Canis lupus familiaris: one gene and its partners. The protein of the gene in region 4 binds, or shares a complex with, the protein of the main gene of each other region. Links are inferred from orthologs where the notes say so. Each region holds a gene or a part of one and is shown on either strand. Other genes may lie near its edges. The genes, in order: RNF125, MUL1, RNF25, UBE2D2 and RLIM.

The links.
Region 1: the proteins of UBE2D2 (region 4) and RNF125 are in contact, whole or in part, in a crystal structure (PDB 8GBQ), measured with the Homo sapiens proteins. The link is inferred for Canis lupus familiaris from reciprocal best matches to the Homo sapiens genes UBE2D2 and RNF125. Residues at the interface, in NP_003330.1 of Homo sapiens: Leu3, Lys4, Arg5, His7, Lys8, Glu9, Asn11, Pro61, Phe62, Lys63, Ile88, Gln92, Ser94, Pro95, Ala96, Leu97, Thr98; in NP_060301.2 of Homo sapiens: Ala38, Val39, Cys40, Leu41, Glu42, Cys60, Thr63, Ser64, Asn67, Pro73, Tyr74, Arg76, Glu102, Tyr122, Lys125, Tyr126.
Region 2: the proteins of UBE2D2 (region 4) and MUL1 are in contact, whole or in part, in a crystal structure (PDB 6M2C), measured with the Homo sapiens proteins. The link is inferred for Canis lupus familiaris from reciprocal best matches to the Homo sapiens genes UBE2D2 and MUL1. Residues at the interface, in NP_003330.1 of Homo sapiens: Met1, Arg5, Lys8, Glu9, Asp12, Phe62, Ser91, Gln92, Trp93, Ser94, Pro95, Ala96; in NP_078820.2 of Homo sapiens: Val303, Val304, Cys305, Leu306, Cys326, Ala329, Leu330, Pro331, Pro337, Ile338, Arg340.
Region 3: the proteins of UBE2D2 (region 4) and RNF25 are in contact, whole or in part, in a crystal structure (PDB 5D1K), measured with the Homo sapiens proteins. The link is inferred for Canis lupus familiaris from reciprocal best matches to the Homo sapiens genes UBE2D2 and RNF25. Residues at the interface, in NP_003330.1 of Homo sapiens: Leu3, Lys4, Arg5, His7, Lys8, Glu9, Leu10, Asn11, Asp12, Arg15, Ser22, Pro25, Gln34, Thr36, Val49, Phe51, Asp59, Pro61, Phe62, Lys63, Phe69, Thr70, Thr71, Arg72, Ser80, Asn81, Gly82, Gln92, Ser94, Pro95; in NP_071898.2 of Homo sapiens: Val136, Ile137, Cys138, Leu139, Tyr140, Cys161, Arg164, Tyr165, His168, Pro199, Val200, Arg202, Gln220, Met222, Glu223, Leu224, Tyr225, Gln226, Arg238, Leu241, Tyr242, Arg244, Gln245, Arg248, Gly249, Gly250, Ile251, Ile252, Leu254.
Region 5: the proteins of UBE2D2 (region 4) and RLIM are in contact, whole or in part, in a crystal structure (PDB 6W7Z), measured with the Homo sapiens proteins. The link is inferred for Canis lupus familiaris from reciprocal best matches to the Homo sapiens genes UBE2D2 and RLIM. Residues at the interface, in NP_003330.1 of Homo sapiens: Met1, Arg5, Lys8, Glu9, Asp59, Pro61, Phe62, Lys63, Ile88, Gln92, Trp93, Ser94, Pro95, Ala96, Leu97, Thr98; in NP_057204.2 of Homo sapiens: Ser571, Val572, Ile574, His595, Cys596, Arg599, Trp600, Glu603, Pro608, Ile609, Arg611.

Annotation. Positions count from the first base shown.
Region 1 is NC_049228.1:57,578,703-57,582,867, forward strand, and holds the start of RNF125 (E3 ubiquitin-protein ligase RNF125), read right to left. Parts: upstream 2,804-4,165; 5' UTR 2,696-2,803; coding exon 2,532-2,695; intron 1-2,531. UniProt on the Homo sapiens protein: E3 ubiquitin-protein ligase that mediates ubiquitination and subsequent proteasomal degradation of target proteins, such as RIGI, MAVS/IPS1, IFIH1/MDA5, JAK1 and p53/TP53.
Region 2 is NC_049223.1:77,793,529-77,797,657, reverse strand, and holds the start of MUL1 (mitochondrial ubiquitin ligase activator of NFKB 1), read right to left. Parts: upstream 2,809-4,129; 5' UTR 2,718-2,808; coding exon 2,598-2,717; intron 1-2,597. UniProt on the Homo sapiens protein: Exhibits weak E3 ubiquitin-protein ligase activity. E3 ubiquitin ligases accept ubiquitin from an E2 ubiquitin-conjugating enzyme in the form of a thioester and then directly transfer the ubiquitin to targeted substrates.
Region 3 is NC_049258.1:25,142,132-25,146,208, forward strand, and holds the end of RNF25 (E3 ubiquitin-protein ligase RNF25), read right to left. Parts: coding exon 3,981-4,077; intron 3,891-3,980; coding exon 3,823-3,890; intron 3,730-3,822; coding exon 3,660-3,729; intron 2,507-3,659; coding exon 2,435-2,506; intron 2,341-2,434; coding exon 2,197-2,340; intron 1,856-2,196; coding exon 1,763-1,855; intron 1,482-1,762; coding exon 1,347-1,481; intron 1,145-1,346; coding exon 566-1,144; 3' UTR 504-565; downstream 1-503. Other genes in the region: BCS1L (mitochondrial chaperone BCS1), read left to right, coding at 1-2. UniProt on the Homo sapiens protein: E3 ubiquitin-protein ligase that plays a key role in the RNF14-RNF25 translation quality control pathway, a pathway that takes place when a ribosome has stalled during translation, and which promotes ubiquitination and degradation of translation factors on stalled ribosomes.
Region 4 is NC_049223.1:33,951,316-33,955,480, reverse strand, and holds the start of UBE2D2 (ubiquitin-conjugating enzyme E2 D2), read right to left. Parts: upstream 2,807-4,165; 5' UTR 2,505-2,806; coding exon 2,481-2,504; intron 1-2,480.
Region 5 is NC_049260.1:58,030,008-58,033,515, forward strand, and holds part of RLIM (E3 ubiquitin-protein ligase RLIM), read right to left. Parts: intron 2,929-3,508; coding exon 2,845-2,928; intron 1,537-2,844; coding exon 1-1,536. UniProt on the Homo sapiens protein: E3 ubiquitin-protein ligase.

The DNA of each region.
Region 1 (4,165 bases), on a different chromosome or scaffold from region 4:
ACATTTTTAAAATACTCATAAAAATTCCATTATTCACCCTATTGTACAAATGAAGAAGCAGTCAAAGAGATAGCCCCATGGTGGTCACACAACCAGTCAGTGGCAGGGCTGAATTTCAAATACTGCTCTCTCTCAGTCCCACTGTTTCTACAATTTATAGAGTGCTATATACATACTCATTCAATGTATTTTTGTCATTATTAAGTACTTGATTGACTCGAAATAGGTTTATGAGCAGAAATCAGCATAAACCAACGAGTTCAACAAGTTTGGAAATTAGCTTCAATAGGAGATAACATACAGAGATTTCATTTGCATTTCTCCATTTTCCAATTTAGGGTCAATGGAGGAGAGTAAATTTATTTAGGAAGTACACAAATGGTGTTAACAGCACTCACCATTCCCAGTGGAGAAGGAACTCTAGTTAACATTTATAAAGTGGAAGGGGCCCAAGTAAATTTGCCAAAAGGAGGAATATGGAAATTCTGCCCACAGCCAGAACAATGGACATAGATTTGTCAAAACAAAGAACAGTAAAGTGAGGGAAGGCAATTCATCCAGCCCTTGTGCTACTTCATGACTATTTTTTCCAGTTGCTGGTTTCCTATTCAAACTCTAACAAAGAAAAAGATTAAACAAAAGATTTAACTTTTTACACATTTACATTATCCTTTAGCAGAAGCAAAAACACTACAAACAGTAAGTTATGGCATTCAAAATCCAAACCAGGTGGGATCCCTGGGTGGCTCAGTGATTTAGCGCCTCCCTTGGGCCCGGGCGTGATCCTGGAGTCTGGGATCCAGTTCCACTTCGAGTCCCACACTGGGCTCCTTGCATGGAGCCTGCTTCTCCCTCTGCCTGTGTCTCTGCCTCTCTCTGTGTCTCTCGTGAATAAATAAGTAAAATATTTTTAAAAAATCCAAACCAGGGAAAACAATCCTCAATCAGATAACAACCTCCAATATCAAAGTCATCCAATTCAGTTCTACAGAAGGAACTTTCAAGACTCGATGCCCGCTGCGCATTCCTGGTGCAACTTTAAAGTTTTAATGCACAGCCTAAATTTACCCATAGCTACCCGGGGATGATTACTGTCCCAACTAATCAATATATTATACTGTTACACGATGCTATCTCGGCTTCCATCTTGGCCTTGGGATTTCATATCATGAGCTACATCTGGACAGCTGGGAAACAACATCAGTAATCAGTCTGGAGGCCAATTAGGCTTGAGTTTAAAGTACAACGCTGAAACAACAGGCCTTGAAAACACAGCCACAAAATAATGCCCAGGGCACTCTTTATTTAAACACTATGTGGGCTGCATTTTTCCTTCTTGGCTCACCACCGAGGTTTTCATGGTGCTTCTCAGTCACTAGTCTATAGGTGTCAAGAACCATCTAAGTCTTTTTGAAAACATTTTGTGCACTTGCATTTATAATATGGGTTTTTCCCCCCTTGCTAAGCCAGAAGCACTTACTAGCCATTGCGGTATTGCCCTGGCGCTTCATCAAACTCTAGTCAGCCAAAGAAGACATTAAGTGGGCTTCCGTTCTCACTCTGTGCAACTCCCCGCACCCCACCCACCCCCAACAGGCACACACTCACTCACACACCCAGGCAGCCACGGAAAGCAAGCTTCTGCGGAAACAGAACACGAAACCACAGGTCCAACTCCCATCACTAGTGGCCCCAGCACACATTAAGGACGGGCCAATTTTATATAGGGATTTTGTTTTCAAACTCTTTTTAGAAACGACTAATTTTTATCTCTGCTTTCCATCGATTTTAGGGAAGCGCCGCGTGAGGCAGGGAGTCTGCAAACTCCTGTCACTCTGTGGTTAGATTTTAAAGGGCTACACTCAAGGGCCTGGCGCTAAGGTTCTCAGGTCCCGGCCCCACCCCGACAGGCACTTAAAGTCTAAGGGCTACGAGGTCACTCCGCCTGTTGAGCTGATCTTTGAAGGGCCTGAGTGTGTGCATTAGGATGGGGAGGGGGAGGTGGAGGTGGAAGGACAGTTTGCACGGATCTTTGTTTGCTCAAGAGGCTGCCCCAGTGGGCGTCCTGGAACACGTGCAGGGCCAGCAAAACAAAACCGACCTGCGGGGCGGCGGGGGGTGGGGAGGGGGCAGCACCTCCCGATTGATTGAGCTCGGCGGGGTGATTGCTCTGCAGAAGCCCACTGCCCTGTGTCCAAGCGGGTGCCGGCCGTCCAGCCAAGGGCACCCTCCCCAGCTGACGGCCCCGGCCCCCGGCGGCTCCTGCGCCTGGGCACCCGGTCTGGGGCTCCGCACCTGGGCTTGGGGCAAGCAGCGCCTCGGGGCCTGGCGGGGAGGCGCCGCGGCGCCCGCCTGTTTCTGTTTTCGCCTCCTGCATGCCTGTGTCACCTTCCGACAGGTCGCCTTCCCCGCGGCCCGGGCTCGCCGGGTCCGGGTGTGTCCCCCGCAGGAGCTCCGTTCCCACGCGCGGGCTCCCCCGGCCTCGCCCTCCCCAGAAGCGGGCGCGCAAGCCGAGCTCCCCCCGCACTCACACGTGGCCGCAGCGGGTCCGGACGGGCTGGTGCAGCACCTCGAGGCACACGGAGCAGTCGAAGGACGTGACGGGCAGCTCGGGGTCCCCGCTGCGCTCCAGGGCCCGGGGGGCGGCCGAGGCGGGGGCGGCTTTGGCGCTGTCGCTGCTCAGCACGGAGCCCATCGCGGCGCCTCTCGCCCAGACAGCGGCCGGCAGCTCCGCGCCCGCGGCCGGGTTGTTTTGCTGTCCTGCGGCAGAGGAAGGAAGTCCCGGCCCAGCGGCGACCGCCGCCTCCCCGCGCGCCCGGCGACAGCAGCCCGGCGGCGGCCGCGGCCCGGCGCCCCACCTCCGTCCAGGGCCGACGAGCGCGCGGCCGCGGCCGACACAAGGAGGCGGGGGCGGCCGCACGGTGCGCGCTGCCACGGCCCGGCTCCTGCGAGGGCTGAAACCTGAAACCTCCCCCGCAGGGCCCGGAGCGGCGGGGCGGCCGGCGGGCTGTCGCGCGCGTCCGTACCGCGTTCTGGCGAGCTCCGGAGAGGGTGGAGCCGGCCCCGCCGGCCGCGACGCAGGGGCCCCGCGGGAGGTGATGCTCGCGTCCGCCCTGCGCGGCTGCGACCCCAGCGCGCCCCGGCCGCGGGCTGGCACCGAGCGGCTCCCGAGACCGCGCCCCCCTGCGCTCGGGCCGCAGTCGGCGCCCCACGGGGGGAGGGCTAGCACGCGGCGTGCAAAAGGTTCTGAGACCCGGGTTCGGATCCCAACTCACGACGATAAGGGTTCTAGTGCTATAAATTCTACTGCCTCAGTTTCCTGGGCGCAGGGTGTCCCGCTGTTGCCCCTACTCCCTGCCCCTCCCTCTTTTAGCCATGACCAAATACATCATTTAATGAGCCATACCTGGGCGCCTGGGAGGCCCAGTCGGTTAAGCATCTGCCTTCTGCTTGGCCATGATCTCCGGGTCCTCGGATCAAGCCCCACCGCGGACTCCCTGCTGCTTCTCTCTCTGCCTCCTCTGCCCTTTCCCCTCTGCTTGTGCACTCTCTCTCTCTCTCTCTCTCTCTCTCTCAAATAATAAATAAAATATTATTTTTAAAAAAGCCACACATTTAATAAGACTTCTTTAGTGCCCACTGCATAGCAGACTTTGTTCTGGTGATGGGAACACAATTCTGACCAGGAGACAAAATCCCCGTTCCCACAGAACTTATTTTAAAAAAACAAAACCAAAAATGTTGACTTTGGTTGAGATAATTACAGATTCACATGCTTATCATTTTCTTAATATCTTTTTTTTTAAGATTTCATTCATTTATTCATAAGACACACACAGAGAGAGAGAGGCAGAGACACAGGCAGAGGGAGAAGCAGGCTCCAGGCAGGGAGCCCGACGTGGGACTCGATCCCCGGTCTCTCCAGGATCAGGCCCTGGGCTGAAGGCGGCGCAAAACCGCTGAGCAACCAGGGCTGCCCCAACATGCTTATCATTTATTTATAAATAACACCTAGTAATATATGATCCACACAACCCATCACACAACAATACATGTAATACATAGTAATCCCATAAACTTAACCCAGTTTCCCCCCGACTTTGCTTTTAATAAGAAGATGTAAGTAATCAACGAGTAAATGAGCAAGATCATTTCAGATGATAAG
Region 2 (4,129 bases), about 44 Mb from region 4:
TTACTGATAACATAAGCAGTTAATCAACACATTTTGTAGGTTATATGCTGTATTCCTGTAATAAAACAAGCTAAAGAAAAGAAAATATTTTTTAGGGCAGCCCCGGTGGCTCAGCGGTTTGGTGCCGCCTTCGGCCCGGGGTGTGATCCTGGAGACCCGGGATCGAGTCCCACATCAGGGTCCCTACATGGAGCCTGTGTCTCCCTCTGCCTGTGTCTCTGCTTCTCTCTCCTGTGTATTCTCATGAATAAGTAAATAAAATTTAAAAAATATATATTTTTAAAAAATCATGAGAAGGGGCCCCTGGGTGGCTCAGTGGTTGAGTGTCTACCTTTGGCTCAGGTTGTGATCCCAGGGTCCTGGGATCGAGTCCTGCATCGGGCTCCCCGCAGGGAGCCTGCTTCTCCCTCTGCCTGTGTCTCTGCTTCTCTCTCTGTATCTCTCAGGAATAAATAAAATCTTTAATAAATAAATAAATATAAGAAAATACATTTATAATACTGTATTTGTTGAAAATAATCTGCGTGTAAGTGGACCTGCACAGTTCAAACCCATGTTGTTCAAAGGTCAACTGTATGTACCAGGCACTACGCTAAACACTTTACACGCGTAAATTCATGCAATGCTCCTACCACCCCTATACAGCAGACATTATTAGCCCCAATTACAGATAAGGAAACTGAGGCTCAGAGATATGAAATGCTTTGCCCCAAGTCACACAGCTGGTACAGCATCCACCACAGGATGGCCAGTTAGAATTTTTTAAAGGGGAGAGGGAATACGGTTGGAAAGACACTTGAATCAACCTTCAGTCCATCTATTGTGACTTTGAGCAACTTAATTTACCTGAGTCTCAATTGCCAAAGCTGTAAAAAAAAAAAAATGGAGATAAAACTATCACTGGATTTTTATGTGTGTTCAATGATGTGTAAGGTGTGAAGGAATCTAGCCCAGGGGCTGGCACATAATAGGCAGGCAATAAATATGCATTCCCATCACTACGAGAGATGCACAAGGTTAAGACTCAAACCTACTCTGCGAGTTTTGTAATCTGATCAAGAAAACAGAACCTAAAATATTAGGAATCCCAACTCTTTCCAGGAAGGGGCTGTTTCAACTTCATTTGGGAACTAACTGGCAAAACTTTTAAGGCCACCCAAAAATAGATCCTGGAGAGTTCACTGCTTCAAAGGTCCCACATTCAGCCAGCTTGATGCCAACCTGATTTCAGACTTTTAGAGTCAGAAAGTGGAGTATCAGTTACACTCCTGGCACATGACTTCAGCAGTAACCTGTTTATAATCAAACAACTGGGCAGCTGGAATCTCACTAGGACGCCATTTGCACCACAAATCTAACTGCTTGGTAACCTGGTTCGATCCAGATGCATTCCCAAACTCCCCTTGACGGCAGGGATTTCACACATTGGTTCCTGAGCCCTTTTATTGAAAACAATATGGTGATAATGAACTAAGCCAGGTTTAGGAATCCTTCAAATAAACGTCAAGCGAAGCCCTAACTGTGGTATCGTGACATTTCAGCCAAAAGGAATCCACAAACATTCGGTGAGCGTCTACCACTTGTCAGGCACTGACTTACAACCTAGAAGAAAAAGCATACGTAAGACCCTGTCTCCGACCTAAAGAGGTCCATCTCTCATGGGCCAGTCAGACCGTCACAGTAAAGCAATGCGGTCAATCAGGAAAGGAAAGGAAAAAAGAAAAGAAAAAATAATAATAATCCCACACTTGGAATCCAAAGACCTAAGTTCCAACTTGAGGAGCTGTTAAGACTTTTCCCGGGAGTCTCAATAATTTCCCCATTTGCAATCTGGAGATGACTGTCATTTTCCATACCTCAAAAAAAAAAAAAATGATTGTGAAGGAGAAAAAAAAAAAAAAAACAAGATGAGAATGTGCTAAGCTGGAAAGGGCAGACTAAGAAAGAAAGTGTTATTTTTAAAGTAACTAAACCATCAAAAAAGGAAGAGTCTGTAGGAACAAGGAACTGAGTGGTTACATAAATGGGCAAAGTCTAGGGTTTCTGCACTTGCTGTTCCCTCCATCTGAACTGTTCTTCCCCCCAGACACCTGCACGGTCTCCCTCACCTCCTCCTGGGCTCTGTTAAATGTCACCTTCTTTAAAATAGCACACCTCCCTTTCTCCGGCACCGCATTTCCTCTCTTCCCCGCCTCATTCTGTCCTATTTTCCTCCCCATCTGTCACCCCATCCGATGTACTTGTCTGTCTGTACCAGACTGGAATCTCCATGAGGGCAGAGACTTTTGGTCTCTTCTAGCCGTGCAGGAGCCCCAGGGCCTGGAGCAGAGCAGGCGGCCCGCTAAGAATTTGTCGAATGATGTAATCCAGTCGCGATTCCGGGTGAGGAGAGGGACTGAGAGGAAGAGGGGCAGGTGGAGCGGTTATCACGTGACCCGAGTTCTGCTCGCCGCGCCCCCACCGAGACCGGCGGGGCGACACCTCTCAGGAGCCGGTTTCCGCCCTGGGGCGGTTTCCGGCCGGAGGCGAAGGGCGGGCCCACCGTTACCGGGGGGCAGGGTCGAGCCGGCGGAGGCCAGGCTGGCCCCAGCACTGACCTTGAGCTCCTGGGCGACCTGGGCCTTCTGCCGGTACACGGAGTACAGGACGGCGGTGACGACAGAGCTGGTGCCCAGGAGGATGAACTGGCCCAGCGAGGGCCGCCCCCCGCTCTCCATGGCTGGCGCGGAGCCCCGGGTGCCCGCGGCGACGCCGAGGTCAGGCCGCGCGCCCTCACGCTCCGCCGCCCTCCGCCCGGAACCGCGCCCCCCACGCCGCCCTTCCGGAGACCCGCTCCGCGTCGCCCGGCGTTGACGCAACGACGCCGGGGCCGGAAGTGGGCGGGGCCGCGCGGACCGGAAGGCGGCGTTGCCCGGGTGACCGCCCGGCTGCGGCGGCCTCCGCGGGGGCGGGGTCTCCGTCGCCGAGAGGCGGGGCGAGGGGGCTGACCGGAAGTCCGAGATCGCGGGTCTCTGGTGACCCTTTGCCCTTGGGAGCCGCGCTGGTCGTGCTCGGGTCGCTCTGGTTTCCTGGGGTTATTGTTGGGGTGTTTGATGGGCTCGTGATGGCTCCACCGAGACTAATGAGACTCCTAAACCTCCGCCTCTTTAGGGGGGGAGGAAAAGAAGAGGACTAGTGTGTAGCAAGCCCTTGGGAGTGTTGCACCTTTAAGCTCAGGGCAAACCTTGAGCCTTGGAATTTTTTTTTTTTTCTTCCCACTTTGCAGATGCGAAGAGTGAGGCCGGGGACATTAGGGGATGTGCTCACAGTTGCACTGCTGGTGAGTGCAAGAGAGGAATTTATTGGGCTCCCAGAGCCCTTACAGCCAAGAAGGCAGATTTTATCACCAAAGTAGCCCCTTAATCTGTCATCACCCCCATATAACAACCTATTGTTTGTCAGCTAATAATTACAGCTGCTTTATGGTGCCTGTTTCTGTGTCTGTGTTTACAGACATCCTATTTAATCCTCACACCACGACTGTGGAGCCGATTTCAGACTATCTTCTGACCTCTTTAGTGATCTCCTTACTGAAATAATCAGAAGATAACCCAAAACCTGACCCAAAACATCAAGGTGTTCATCCAAGTTAGCTCCTCCTGGTTACGCTTTAAAAAAATTCTTGGAGGTGTAGGAATGTACCCGCTGGTCAAAAGCAATATATATGTAAAAGGCATCTGACATCTGTAGGTTGCTCCCCAAAAGTAAAGTCTCTTTATTAAAGAAATTGGTTGTCCGTGACATTTTCCTACCACATTCCTTAATTATCCTTGGAATCCAATGAGAATTGCTTTTCTGTGAACGTGGGGTTAGAATCTCCAGATTGTTCCTGCCCCCAGATACTTTTTGATGGTTTTCAACTAAGAGGTGATCATGAATTTGGTACACACACATACACTTAAAGTTAAACCTAACTTTATTATTTTTTTTTAATGGAACTTGTCCAAAAGTTAATAACACATTGTGTTGGCAAAGGGACAGGGACAGGGGATCCCTGGGTGGCTCAGCGGTTTAGTGCCTGCCTTCGGCCAAGGATGTGATCCTGGGGTCCAGGGATCAAGTCCTGCATCGGGCTCCCTGCGTGAGGCCT
Region 3 (4,077 bases), on a different chromosome or scaffold from region 4:
GACGGGCAAGCTGTGCTCAGCGCTTCTCCTCTAGATCAATAAACACCTGCCACACCACTCTGCTTTCTGGCCTCCCTCCCTGCCTCCCTGTATTGGTACTTAGGTCAAAGGCAGGGGCCCTCAGGCATCCACAGAGGCCAGTGCTGGGGGTATAAGCTAAGGCAAAGCTGGAAGAGACACCATGGTAAACAGGGAAGTACAGTCTTCGATCTAAAGGCATTCGGTTTTAAAAAAATGTATATACATAAAAATGTGGACATATACACGGTGGGTGTGTGCACATCATATTCTTGCATGTTCTGCTTAGATGTTGGCATCTACTAGTTTTCCTGAAACCCACCACGCTGGCTGAGGTGTCAGGCCTATCTTTATTCAGAACTTGATCTCTTGGGAAAATGGGACTTCAGGGCAAAGTTGGAGCTAGTCTCCCACTCAGGTCTTGCTAGAGATTCAGAAAAAGCCATACTGTACAGGCTAGGCGCTACTAAGCAAAGAAAGCCAAACAAGGCCAAATCTCTTTATTGCCCCTCCCTGCCCCCCCAAATCCCTGCCCCCCACAGTACTGCTAGGAACCGTCCTCAGACTCCATGCTCAGGGGCTCCCTCCGAGTACCAGGACGAAAGGCTCCCCGACCCCGAGGCAGGCGGGGGTAGGAAGAACCCGGTGTCCGAGCCTTGGAGCGCTCCCAGCGAGCACAGTCCCGAGTCCTGCGGGGTGGGGGACCCTGCCAGTTGCCAGGCCCCTTCTCTTGGGGAGGACCTTCAACCCCTTGGCTACAGGGTTCTGGCTTTAGGTCCATGGGCTCCTTGAGGGGCCCCTCAGGAGGTGGCAGTTCCTGGGTGTCACTGGTACCTTTGTGGGCATGGCACTCCCCTCCCTTTAGGTGCCTCCGTTCAGGCTGTTTCCAGGGGCCTCGACTGGCCCGGGGGGGATCTATCATAGCTTTCTGGGTCTCGCCCAACCTTTGCTGATTTGGCCCAGCCCCTGGAATCTTCTCACACGTGTACTGGGAGGCCACAGGCAGAGGAGCTGACAGGTTGGGCTGGGCAGTTGATGAGGTGGACAGTTCTGAGGCAAGGGCACTGGGTGGCTGGGATCCTCTGGAGGCATCTACAGCCGACTCCGGCTCCACAGGGGCAGGAGGCTAGAAAGAAATGAGCAGATGCAGTGAGGGAGGTGTAGTTTCCCAAAGCAGGGAGCTGTAGGCCCCTTGCTCACAGCTGAGGCTGACTGCCATCAGCCTCTAACCTTAAGGGTAGAACAGAGCTCTCCCTAGGGCCATGGCAGAGGGGCGCTGCTGGGAAGGTAGGGGGCAGTAAGGGAGGTGTGAGGAAGGCTTCCCTCACCTGCTGGAGGCTGATGAAGTACCGGTTACGCTCAGCCTCAAGGTCAATGATGCCTCCCCGCTCCTGCTGCCTCTGGTAGAGCCGCTTGCGCTCTTCTTGTTGGCGCAGGCTCTCTGCGCTGGGCTGGTATAGCTCCTGGAAGGCAGTGAGCAGAGTGAGAGCGGGGAAAAAAAAAATAGAAGGCAGACTCGAATCCCTGCTCTTTCAGGACTGCCTCAGATCTGCTTGAGGTTCTTGGGTTTGCCTCTCAGATCTGGGCTCTCAAAGCCTCAGCCTAGTTGGGGCTGTAGCTCTGCAGGGTCCCAGGCAGGTCAAGCCCAATTCTGGAGGTCCCATTTGAGGAAGATAAGATGCCATCCCTCCCTCCTTGGAGGATGCCATTATTCCTGGCTCAGATGACAAGGGAATTTCCTTACCATGGGCTGTTGGGGTTCAGGGGCTGCTTTCAGTGAGGCAAGATCATATACAAGGGGCTCTCTGCACACCGGACACTGCACACCGACTGCCTTCTAAAAATAGAGAAATCACAGCCCTGCTTCACGGCCCATAGTGCTCGCTTGCCAGCTGCCCAACCCAGTCAGCCAGGCTAATCTGAACAGGGCAGGGATGAAGGGCACAGGCACATTGAGGCAGGATAGGGCAGGGGTTGCCTCCCCAGATAGAGGTCTGGGAACTCTGAAACTGCACACAGCATGTATACATGTATATAAGAACACCCTTTTTTCTGGACAGAGGTGAGCTTTCAAATTTCAAAGGGATCTGTGACCCCAAAAAGGCGAAGAGCCCCTGGAGTCGAGGGACAGAAAAGGGTGTGAGGCGGTCAGGTGAGAGCAGGGGCTGGCAAGCTGACCTGCTTGGTTGCGGCATGCTGCCGTTCCTGCTCCTGCTCCTGGCCTTGAGCCTGTAGCTCACGCTCCATGTGCTGGATGTATCGAGCAAGGCAGTGGCAGTGGAAGTAGTGGTAACAGGGTGTTTTGGTAAAGGCCTCCTTCTCCTGAAGGGAGGAGACACAGGGCATGGCGCCGGAGCTCTCATGAGTCCTCCACTGCCAGCCCAAGCAGACGCCAGGTCCCAAGGGAGAAACCCACCTGGAAATCATAGAGGCAGATGACGCACTGGCCATGGGGGATATTATTGTCTGTGAGAATTTCCTTCCCTTTCTGAGAGGAGAGAAGACATTTCAAACAGGGAGGCAGGGGCAAGAACTGGGAACACAGCCAGGGTTCTACTATTCCCAGGGGTGAATGCGGGAATGTCTCCTACTAAGCTAGCATGTTACTTTGTGTTCATGCATTCCTGTCTCGGGGAGGTGTCCTCCCCCTGGAATCAGTCCTCCGCGTCCCTGCCCCTCCTGCCACATCAACCCAGCCGCACAATCCAATTTTGCTGTTTTTCCACTTCATAAATCACCTTTAGTACACCTCAGGGATGAAAATAATATGCCTCGAGAGAACAGAATGTTCAATTGAAACTCTTATCTTCTGGGAGGTCTTCTTTGGTTAACCCCCTCTGATTATCACTCTAAGAGGTCTGTTCTTCGAGCCAGCTTCCAGAAAAAGTTGAGGCATGGACAACCCAAATGAACAGAGAACTCAAGGGCATCAAGTTGGGCTGCAAACAAACTCCTTTGCACTGTTGTTTGAATAGCTAATATTCTGGAATTCCACAAAGCTCAAAGTGGCATTGTGGAGGCCGGGCTCAGGAGTGCTACAGTGGTCTAAGCCACTCGGACTCCAGGCCGCCCACCTTCATTCTTTTCTGAACATTTTTCTTCAAAAGTCAAAGTTTTGAAGTTTTGAAACAAGACTGTACTTAATTGTGTTTTTAATCTCAAGCAACAGAAGTTGTCTGTGTATGTGAACTTGTAGCTTTAGGTGTTCTCTGTGGGTTGTTAACTTCATTAGGGGAGAAACTGAGTAAAAGAACCATGACTTTTTTAGTCCTAGTCCACTGCAATGGCAGACTAGCCTTCAAATTTTTATTTGTGGTGAGACTCTCTAGGCAAGGTCTCTATCTCTTGCTACTTTCGGTTGCCAGTGCCCAGAGAATGCCTTGAAGCAGAATCAAGAAAAATTCAAGTTATAAAGGCAAAGTCATTTTTAGGATACTAGCATAGGCCACTTGGGGAAGCTAGGGAACTCTCTTTTGGGGGGGTGGTAGGATTCTTGGTAACAGAAAATTTCATCTTTCTGGATTTAGGCCTCACCTAAACAAGAGTAAATGAATGACTCCAGATGTATGTAAGATCCTAGGCCCATTACCTCCCCTAAGAGAAACAGCTCTAGGAGTTTCCCGAGCTAGCACACCTCTTACCTCGATGAGTTCATAGAGCATAGCAGTACCCAGCCCAGCATTGGCCACGTGGCTCAGTGCCTGTGAAATCCTGGAAAAGGGCAAAGCAAACATTAGGCCTGCTCCCTCCCCTCACCAGACTGAGCTGCAGCCCATTTTCCCTGCCCTGACCAGCCCAGCTTACTTGTGGATCTGTTCATCTGAGAGTCCTCGGGGGTTACGGATAGAGATCTGTGGCACCTCATTGGGGTACTAGTGGGAGGAAATGATGTTACTGCTAAAGCACTCCACCCCAGAGCCTCTCTCCTTTCTCCCTTTGCTGCCACAAGGCAGGGGCCTCACCTGTGTTGGGACCTGAAGCACCAGGGTGAAGCACACATACTGTGAATTCTGGTCTTCTGCAGTGGCAGGGTGCAGGGTGATGTAGATCTCCCATGGT
Region 4 (4,165 bases):
CATTAACAGAGTATTTTTAAGTAGAACTGTATTTTCAGAGAATGATAGTTGAAAAGGTTCAAGATCAAGATCAATTACATAAGCCAAGTTAAGTTTTTTTGGGATTCCACTGTAGATACATTACTAGGGCCAAGAAGATAGTAAGAACTAGTCTTACCCATACCTAAGTAAGTCTGACTTCAACTTAAAATTGCTATTATACAAAAAATTGGGGGGGGGGGGAATCTCCATTTTGTTTTCACAATCTTACTGACTAGTATACCAAAATAAATTTTATTTTTCTATTCCCCGGTAGTCTCAGAAGTTGAGCCATACTTTGAGGAGGGCCTTAAGTTATAAAACAGGGGGGAAAAAGGCTAATTACTGAGTTTTAAAAGTTCAAAGTATCATTGCCTAAACTTGATCTTATTGAAATTTTTATATTTTAGAGAAAATCTAGAGAATATGTAGCAACTCAAAAGAAACTAATTACTGGGGCAAGTATATGAGATTAAAGTACATGTTTTGAGTTCCTTTCTCTGAAAAAATAGAATACATATCAATTAACATAGAGATTAAAAGGTATATTTATTGATCTGCAAATTATCATACATACTCCTCTTCAGGTTTTAGAGTAAGAACATGGAGAGAGGAGTTGAAAAAAAAAAAAGAGCAGTCTTCTACAGTTACAATCTCAAATTGATAACCCATTGAGACCCTATAAAAACTACTAAAAGCCTTAAAAACACACGGACGCCTGGGTGGCTCAGCAGTTGGGTGCCTTTTTTCCGCTCAGGTCGTGATCCCAGGATCCGGGATAGAGACCAGCATCAGGCTCCCTGTGAGGAACCTCTTCTCCCTCTGCCTGTCTCTGCCTCTCTCTCTCAGTCTGTGTCTCTCACAAATAAATAAATAAATAAATCTTAAAAAAAAAACAAAACAAACCTTAAAAATACATATACATTTTTATTTGGATGATGATTCCTCAGTATGCTCCTGTCCCTTAAATAGTTCTTTAAGAATTCTTTGATTAAATTGCAAGCTCCTTTTAACAAATAACCTGCTTCATTTTAATGCAAGATTTACTCTGAACTCTGCCTTTCTTCATTTGTTAGAAATCAAAGAAATCCAAACAAGCTAGTAAGGATCTAACCTAATTTACAGTAACCATTAGGATTAATTCCACGTTAAAGGTCTTTGAGCATGAATGAAATGAAAATCCACTGCAAACTGAGGTGTTTTAATTGTCCAACAGTCTGTATTTGCCCTGAGTTTAGGGCAATGAATATTTGTTCTCTTCCCGGTACATCTCCATCCCATTCCTCCCGATGGATAATCCCGGGATCTATTTATAAGTGGCTAAAGGTTTGATAGAGCTTCTCCAAGGAGCTAAGTAAAACCAAACAAAAATCATCATTAGTACTTCTCACTTTTAAGAAAAAGACAGGATAGTCAGAGGCTCCAGGAGTGTTACAATATTGGGGGTACTCTAAATTTAGAGCCAAGCCCATAAGGTAGAATCAGTATACGGAAAACCTTCATACAAATAACTAAATAACCTTTCCTCTTAAAGGGCAAAGACACCCTTTCGAATAGAAAAAATTGAGCAAAATTCCTTCTAAATTCAAAGGGTCTCCCTGAACATATGACGTAATTTACGCGTTAAAATCCACCGTATAAAGAGACAGTAAAGGGAAACTTTGTGTAATTCCTTCAGCGGTTTTCAATGTTCAGGTTTCTACTTCTATCCTTGCAAATTTACGTTTTTCTATTAGATCCATTCCTATAAAAGTTTAATTTCAGACTACATTTAGGCAACCTCAAAGAACAAAACCTCTTTCTACTTCCCTCCTCCCTCAAGAGTCATGTTTGTTTTGTTTTGTTTTCCTTCTGAACTTCCTACTCTTTAAGTTTCTGGACGAGTGGAGTGGACCGAAGTGCGCGGCCGCCAAGAGGTAAGTAAACTCAAGGAATACTTGTGGATCGGACAAAAAGGCTTCCTACGTGTGCCTGAGACGTGGGCTCCAAGCTCAGGCGGCTCCGAGGAGGGAACCAGGGCAGGTGGGCGGGAGGCGGGAGTCGGGGGACACGGGCAGACGTGGGGCGAGGAGCCCTTTCGACCTCTGTCAATGGGACAGCTCAGCGCCCCAGCCCAGCTCCCCCTCCCGGCATGGCCGGACAATGGCCCTCTAGCGCAGCAGTCCCAGGCCGGGCAGAGGCCCTGGGGCTCCACACCACGCGGGGCCTAGAAAGGAGGCCAGGGAGGCACGCTGAGCCGGCTGGCGAACCTGCGGCCTGAGCGCGGGCTGCGTACCGGGGCCTCTACCGGCGCCATCACTGGGAGTGGGGTGTGAAGGGCGCCCGGCAGGACCACCGCCGCCGGCAGCCGGGTCCGAAGAGGCCGCGAGCCGGGCGGAGGCGACGGCGGGAAGTGCAGGCCGCAGCCTGCTCAGCTAGCCCGCCCAGCGGCCGGAACCCTCAGCCGACCTCCGGCCGCTTACCTTGTGGATTCTCTTCAAAGCCATCGTGGGAGACGGGTGGCGGCGGCCCCCGGGGCGGGGACGGGGGCAGGGGAGGGACGGGGAAGGGGCGAGGGGGCGCGAGGCCGCCTCAGTGACCGCGGGTCGGCCGGAGAAGACGGGGGGTTCGCGAGCGCGAGCCTGGCAGGACCGACTGCGGGCCGAGGCCCACTTGGCTCCTGAGCCTGCCGCAGCGGTCACCGCATCACCCGGCGGCGGCCCCTTTATGCGCTGCCGCCCGAGCCGCCGCCGCCGCCGCCGCCGCCGCCGCCGTAGCTGCCTCTTCCACCTAGTCTCAGCGCCGCCTCCTCAGCCGCCGTGGATCCCTCCGCCGGGGAGCAAGAGCCCAAGCCTCGGGCTCGGCCGGCGCCGCTCAGTGGAACAGCCAGAGGGACTGCCTGCTGCAGGTGGACGGAGGCACTCGCGGGCGGACGGGCGGGCGGCGCCGCCGGGGTGGGGCCGCCGGAGCGCGGGGTGGGTCCAGGCCGAGGGGCAGGTCGGGAGGCCCGGGGATTGGCGGGCGAGGGGAGGGAGGGCCGGACCGCGCCGGCGGCGGAAGGATACGGGCCGCCCCTGTTAGTGTCTTACGCGCGGTCGCCTTCGCCGCCGCGGCCGCCGAGAGGATGACGCCGCGAAGCGCAGGGGAGCAGTCTCGCGAGATTTATGGAGCGGGTGGTAGATGCTCGCGCGACGGCAGCCTTGAGTCCCTGGCCTCTGGTGCCCTACGCGCGTGTTCATAAACGTGTAAAGGCGAATGTTTTCCGGATCCACCTGGTCAGCGCCGTAGCACAGACTGACCCGGGAGGGGGTACCGGTCCACTACAACGTTCCTGTAGGAGGAAGGGACTTGCCCAAGGTCACACAGCTCTACAGAGGCAAAGCCGGGACTTCCAAGCCTCGTGGTAACAGCCTGGGCACCTGTTGGGGATGTGTCTTTTTTTTTTTTTTTTTTTCCCAGCCCGCCTCTGGCCTTTCTTTCTTTTTAAAATTTCTATTTATTTATTCATGAGAGACACAGAGACAGAGACACAGGCAGAGGGAGAAGCAGGCTCCATGCAGGGAGCCCGACGTGGGACTCGATCCCCGGTCTCCAGGATCATGCCCTGGGCTGAAGGCGGCGCTAAACCGCTGGGCCACCTGGGCTGCCCGCCCTTGGCCTTTCTAGCCAAAGCCCCACCCAGCAGCATGACAACTGCAAGATCTCTTAGGTAGGCCTTTCTTTGCTTGGTGAATTGTTACAAACAAGCACTGCACCAATTAACCTCAGAAGAAAAACGGTGTACTGTGTGCTCCAGGAGTTAAAACTAACCATGTGGTTCAGATCACCATCAGGAGCTAGCCTGCTTTTTAGGAGGATGAGACAAATGTGAATTCCCCGAGTAACTAGTGTGTGTAGAGCCCTACACCACGACCAGTGAGATATAAGTTCAAGCCTAGGCTGGGAGGTACTTAGCCTGGCTGGAGACAATGGAGAATAATAGTTAAGGATTATTTTCCTGGTGAGTGATGCCCACATTCTCAACTTCATCCCAAGGCTTATCTGATTCTAAAACTGCTCTTTCCTATGTCTGGAAGAAAACTATTCTTCCTATGTCTAGATCATTGATTTCTAACCTGAATTTCGAGAGGAGAAACTGGAGCTCCTAAGGGAAGGATCCTGCCAAATG
Region 5 (3,508 bases), on a different chromosome or scaffold from region 4:
AGTGGACATGGTACTCATGGGAACAAGGTAGTTTACGAAGTTTGTTGCCTTCTGTATATTCTGTAATGCAAACACTACAGGTTTTTAATGCATCGTTTTCACCAAAACTTCTCATTGCCAAGTTGTCAATCTGTTCTTTGGTGAGTCCTCTAGGTTGGTCATCATCATCCTCATTTAAGAGGAAAAACTGAGCCAGACTAAGGAAGGGCAAAGAGCCACTTTCATCAAATGTTACCGGGGCCCTGTGTCGACCCTCTCGCCTGGCACCCGATGAGCCTGATGATGAGCTTCCTTCGTTACTGCCTTCAAACACCTCTGAGCTAGTCTCTGAACTTTCACCACTGGAACTGGAACTAGGACTGGAACTGGAACTAGAACTGGAGCTTGAACTGGAACTCGAACTGGAACTCGAACTGGAACCAGAACTGCTACTACCACCAGAACCCCCTCTTCCATTCCGTGACTCTGCCCTTTCCACATTTCGACTTGAGACTGAGCCACTAGGCTCTGAATCACTATCACTGTACATAAAATAGCTTAGCTCGCCAAAACCTGTCATTATCTGCCTTAACATGGTCTGAATTGCAACAGATGTAGTCTCACTTAAACCAGTATTTAAAATTCTACGAATCGGAATTCTGATGGTACTGACATAGGTTCTCACACCTGCCCGTTCAGAACGTGAAAATGTACGCCTAAAACCTCCTCGTTCACTTTCGTAAGTGACGGTATTGTTTGGAGTCTGAGACCTTGACCGAGTTCTGCTAGCTATACTATCCCTCTGCCGGTATTCCCCGGGACGAACTCTTCTTACTTGAAGATCAAGGACTATGGTTGGAGGTCTCTGTCCTGATCCTGTAGATTCACCACTGCTGGCTGTGTCTGAAGAACCTGCTCCTTGGGAGGCATTTCTTGTTCCAGAAGCTGCAAAAAGACCTCTACTTAGCAAATCGGGTCCACTTATTTGCTGTCTCAATGTCACATGGTGCCGGGTTCTAGAACTTCCCTCGGTCTCATTCACCAAAGGATGCTCAAAAGTCTGAGATGAGATACTATGATGAGATCTTCGTGGAATTTCACTCATTGGATGCAGAGGTGACCTACTTCTTTCAGCTCTTGCTCGGGTTCTCCGATGATCTGGACTCCTGCTTCTTGCCCTTCTCTGACCTCTGGTAGGTGCGACTTCTCCCGTTAACGCTTCAGTTGAATTTCGTTCTGATCTGGATGGCCTTGTGGATGTTGGTTCAGATCGTGGATTTTCGACTTGCCTTTGGCTGCTGTTGTCTGTATTTTCTCCACCAGAACGTCTTGCAGATGGCTCATTTTCATTCTCTGGATTTTGGCTCCCATTATTACGGTTAACATTGATCTCTAAGCTGAATCTGAAATCACCACTGTTTGGATTAGTCCGGCTCACTGCTCTCCAAGATTGGTTTCCTCTTTGCCCACTTCTTGTTGTATTTCCAGTTTGTCTGACAGAGTTAAGCCAGTCTATTATAGAGTCACCATTAGATACATCATCTGAAGAGTCTCCACCTGTTTTTAAAAAAGGGAGGGAAGAGGGAGAAACAGGAACTACTAAAATTAGGACAATCATGTAATAGTACTCTGAAACTGTGTTAGAAAAAAAGGACAAAGATTCTGAATAGATTTCACATTTACAGATTTTTGTGAACTATACTGCATAGATTTGCAAGTAAAGGCAGGAATCTTTCAATTCCATTTTTTTCCAATTCCATTTTGAAAGAGCAAGCTATTCCTAAAGAAATTTAGGGAAAGTTTATCTAAAGGGAATCAGGAGGAAGTCTATTTTCAGTATTTCATCATATACAGAGCTTATGATACCACTGTGGACTGTCAGAAGACATTTTTTGAGTCCACTGTCAAAACATTAATCAAACAAGGTAAATGCCAGTTAGGGTACAGGGCTAGTATTTTAGTTCAAATTGCATTTTTGTCAAATTTTCATTAGTCTACATTTCCTCTAGGATCCTGACTTAAGTGCCTTTGATAATACAGGACTTTTAAAATACAAGACTGCTGTGGCCACTGCAAAAATAGAAACAGGGCTTACTGCTTCAAAAGTATTCTAATACTTTATTGCCAAGATTTTAAATTAACACAAAATTAGAGATCAGACCAAATGAACAGTTTGCACCTAGCATGGTATATATAATGGCATGCTCAAGAACCAAATTATTATTATAGCCTATGTCAGACAGTGAAATTTCCTACAATCCTACTTCAAATTAAAAGCAGGATTTCTCAACAGTGGCACTATTTCCATTTTGAGCCAGATAATTCTTTGTTGTGGGGGCTGCGCTGTTAATGAGTTTTAGTATGTTGTGATGTTTGCCAGCATCCTTGGCCTCCACCCACTAGATACTAGTAGCAAACCCCTAGCTGTGACAACAACCAAAAATGTCTAAAGACATTGCCAGTGTCCCTGGGACAGGGGTGGAGATATAATCCATTGAGAACCATCAGGTTAGAGAATACAGCATTTCTTTCTGCTGGTGGAAAGTGCACATGTTTATAAGGAAGAAATAATTCAGTAGGTGGGAGGAAATTTCAACGGAGATGCAAAATAAAAAAAAAATCCAACACATTTAAATAGGCCATTTTTCACTATGTCTCAATTAATATAAACTCAAAGGTGAAGCAGAAAAAAAAAACATGTTGACATTTTCGCCAAATACCAAGAAAATGCCAGTTCTCTTTTTTGTTAACAGTTCCTTAGCACTAAATTAATTTGTCCTGTTTCTGGATAATCTTTGGCTGACATTTCCAGTAGTTCCTGATCTACTTCAGCCCCTACCCACCCCCACCCAAAACAAAATATACCTCTGTTTTCATCTGAGTTTTGTGGTGGTGGGCCCTCTTTAATTTGTTGTAGTCTTCTCAGCAACTCTTCCTCAGTACTTTCACCTGAAAATAGTTTAGAAATGTTTGCCAAATTACAAATAAAAATGGCGATGGAGTAGGAACCTGGATAAAATTTACTTCTTTGGGGGCATGACATTACAATTTATGCCAAGTTTCTTTCCAGTTTACTAAGTGCTTTTGCATACGATATCCCACGCTTTTATTTTTTTTTTTTATTTTTTTTTTATCCCACGCTTTTAAACTCTAACTCTGGGAGGTGGAAATTATTATCTGCATTTTAAAATAAGGAAACTGAGACTAAGTGATAGACTGATGTATTAAGAAATGGCAGGGCCAGAATACCAACTTCAGCATCCTGATTCAAGTCTGGTATGGTTGGCTCAAAATGCACTCCCTCTCCTAACACCTTACGTTTTAAAATGTATACAATAACTCAAAGGTTAGAACTAAATAGAATGGAGGAGCACCGGAGATAATGAATTTTAATCAGGATCAAATGGGACCTAACTTGGCAAAAAAGAATCACCAAGCACAAAGTCCTAAACTGACTATTTTACCCAAGGACAGCTTTGGAGGATTATGACTGGAACATAATCTTGGAATCAGAAATAAGAAAAAAAGA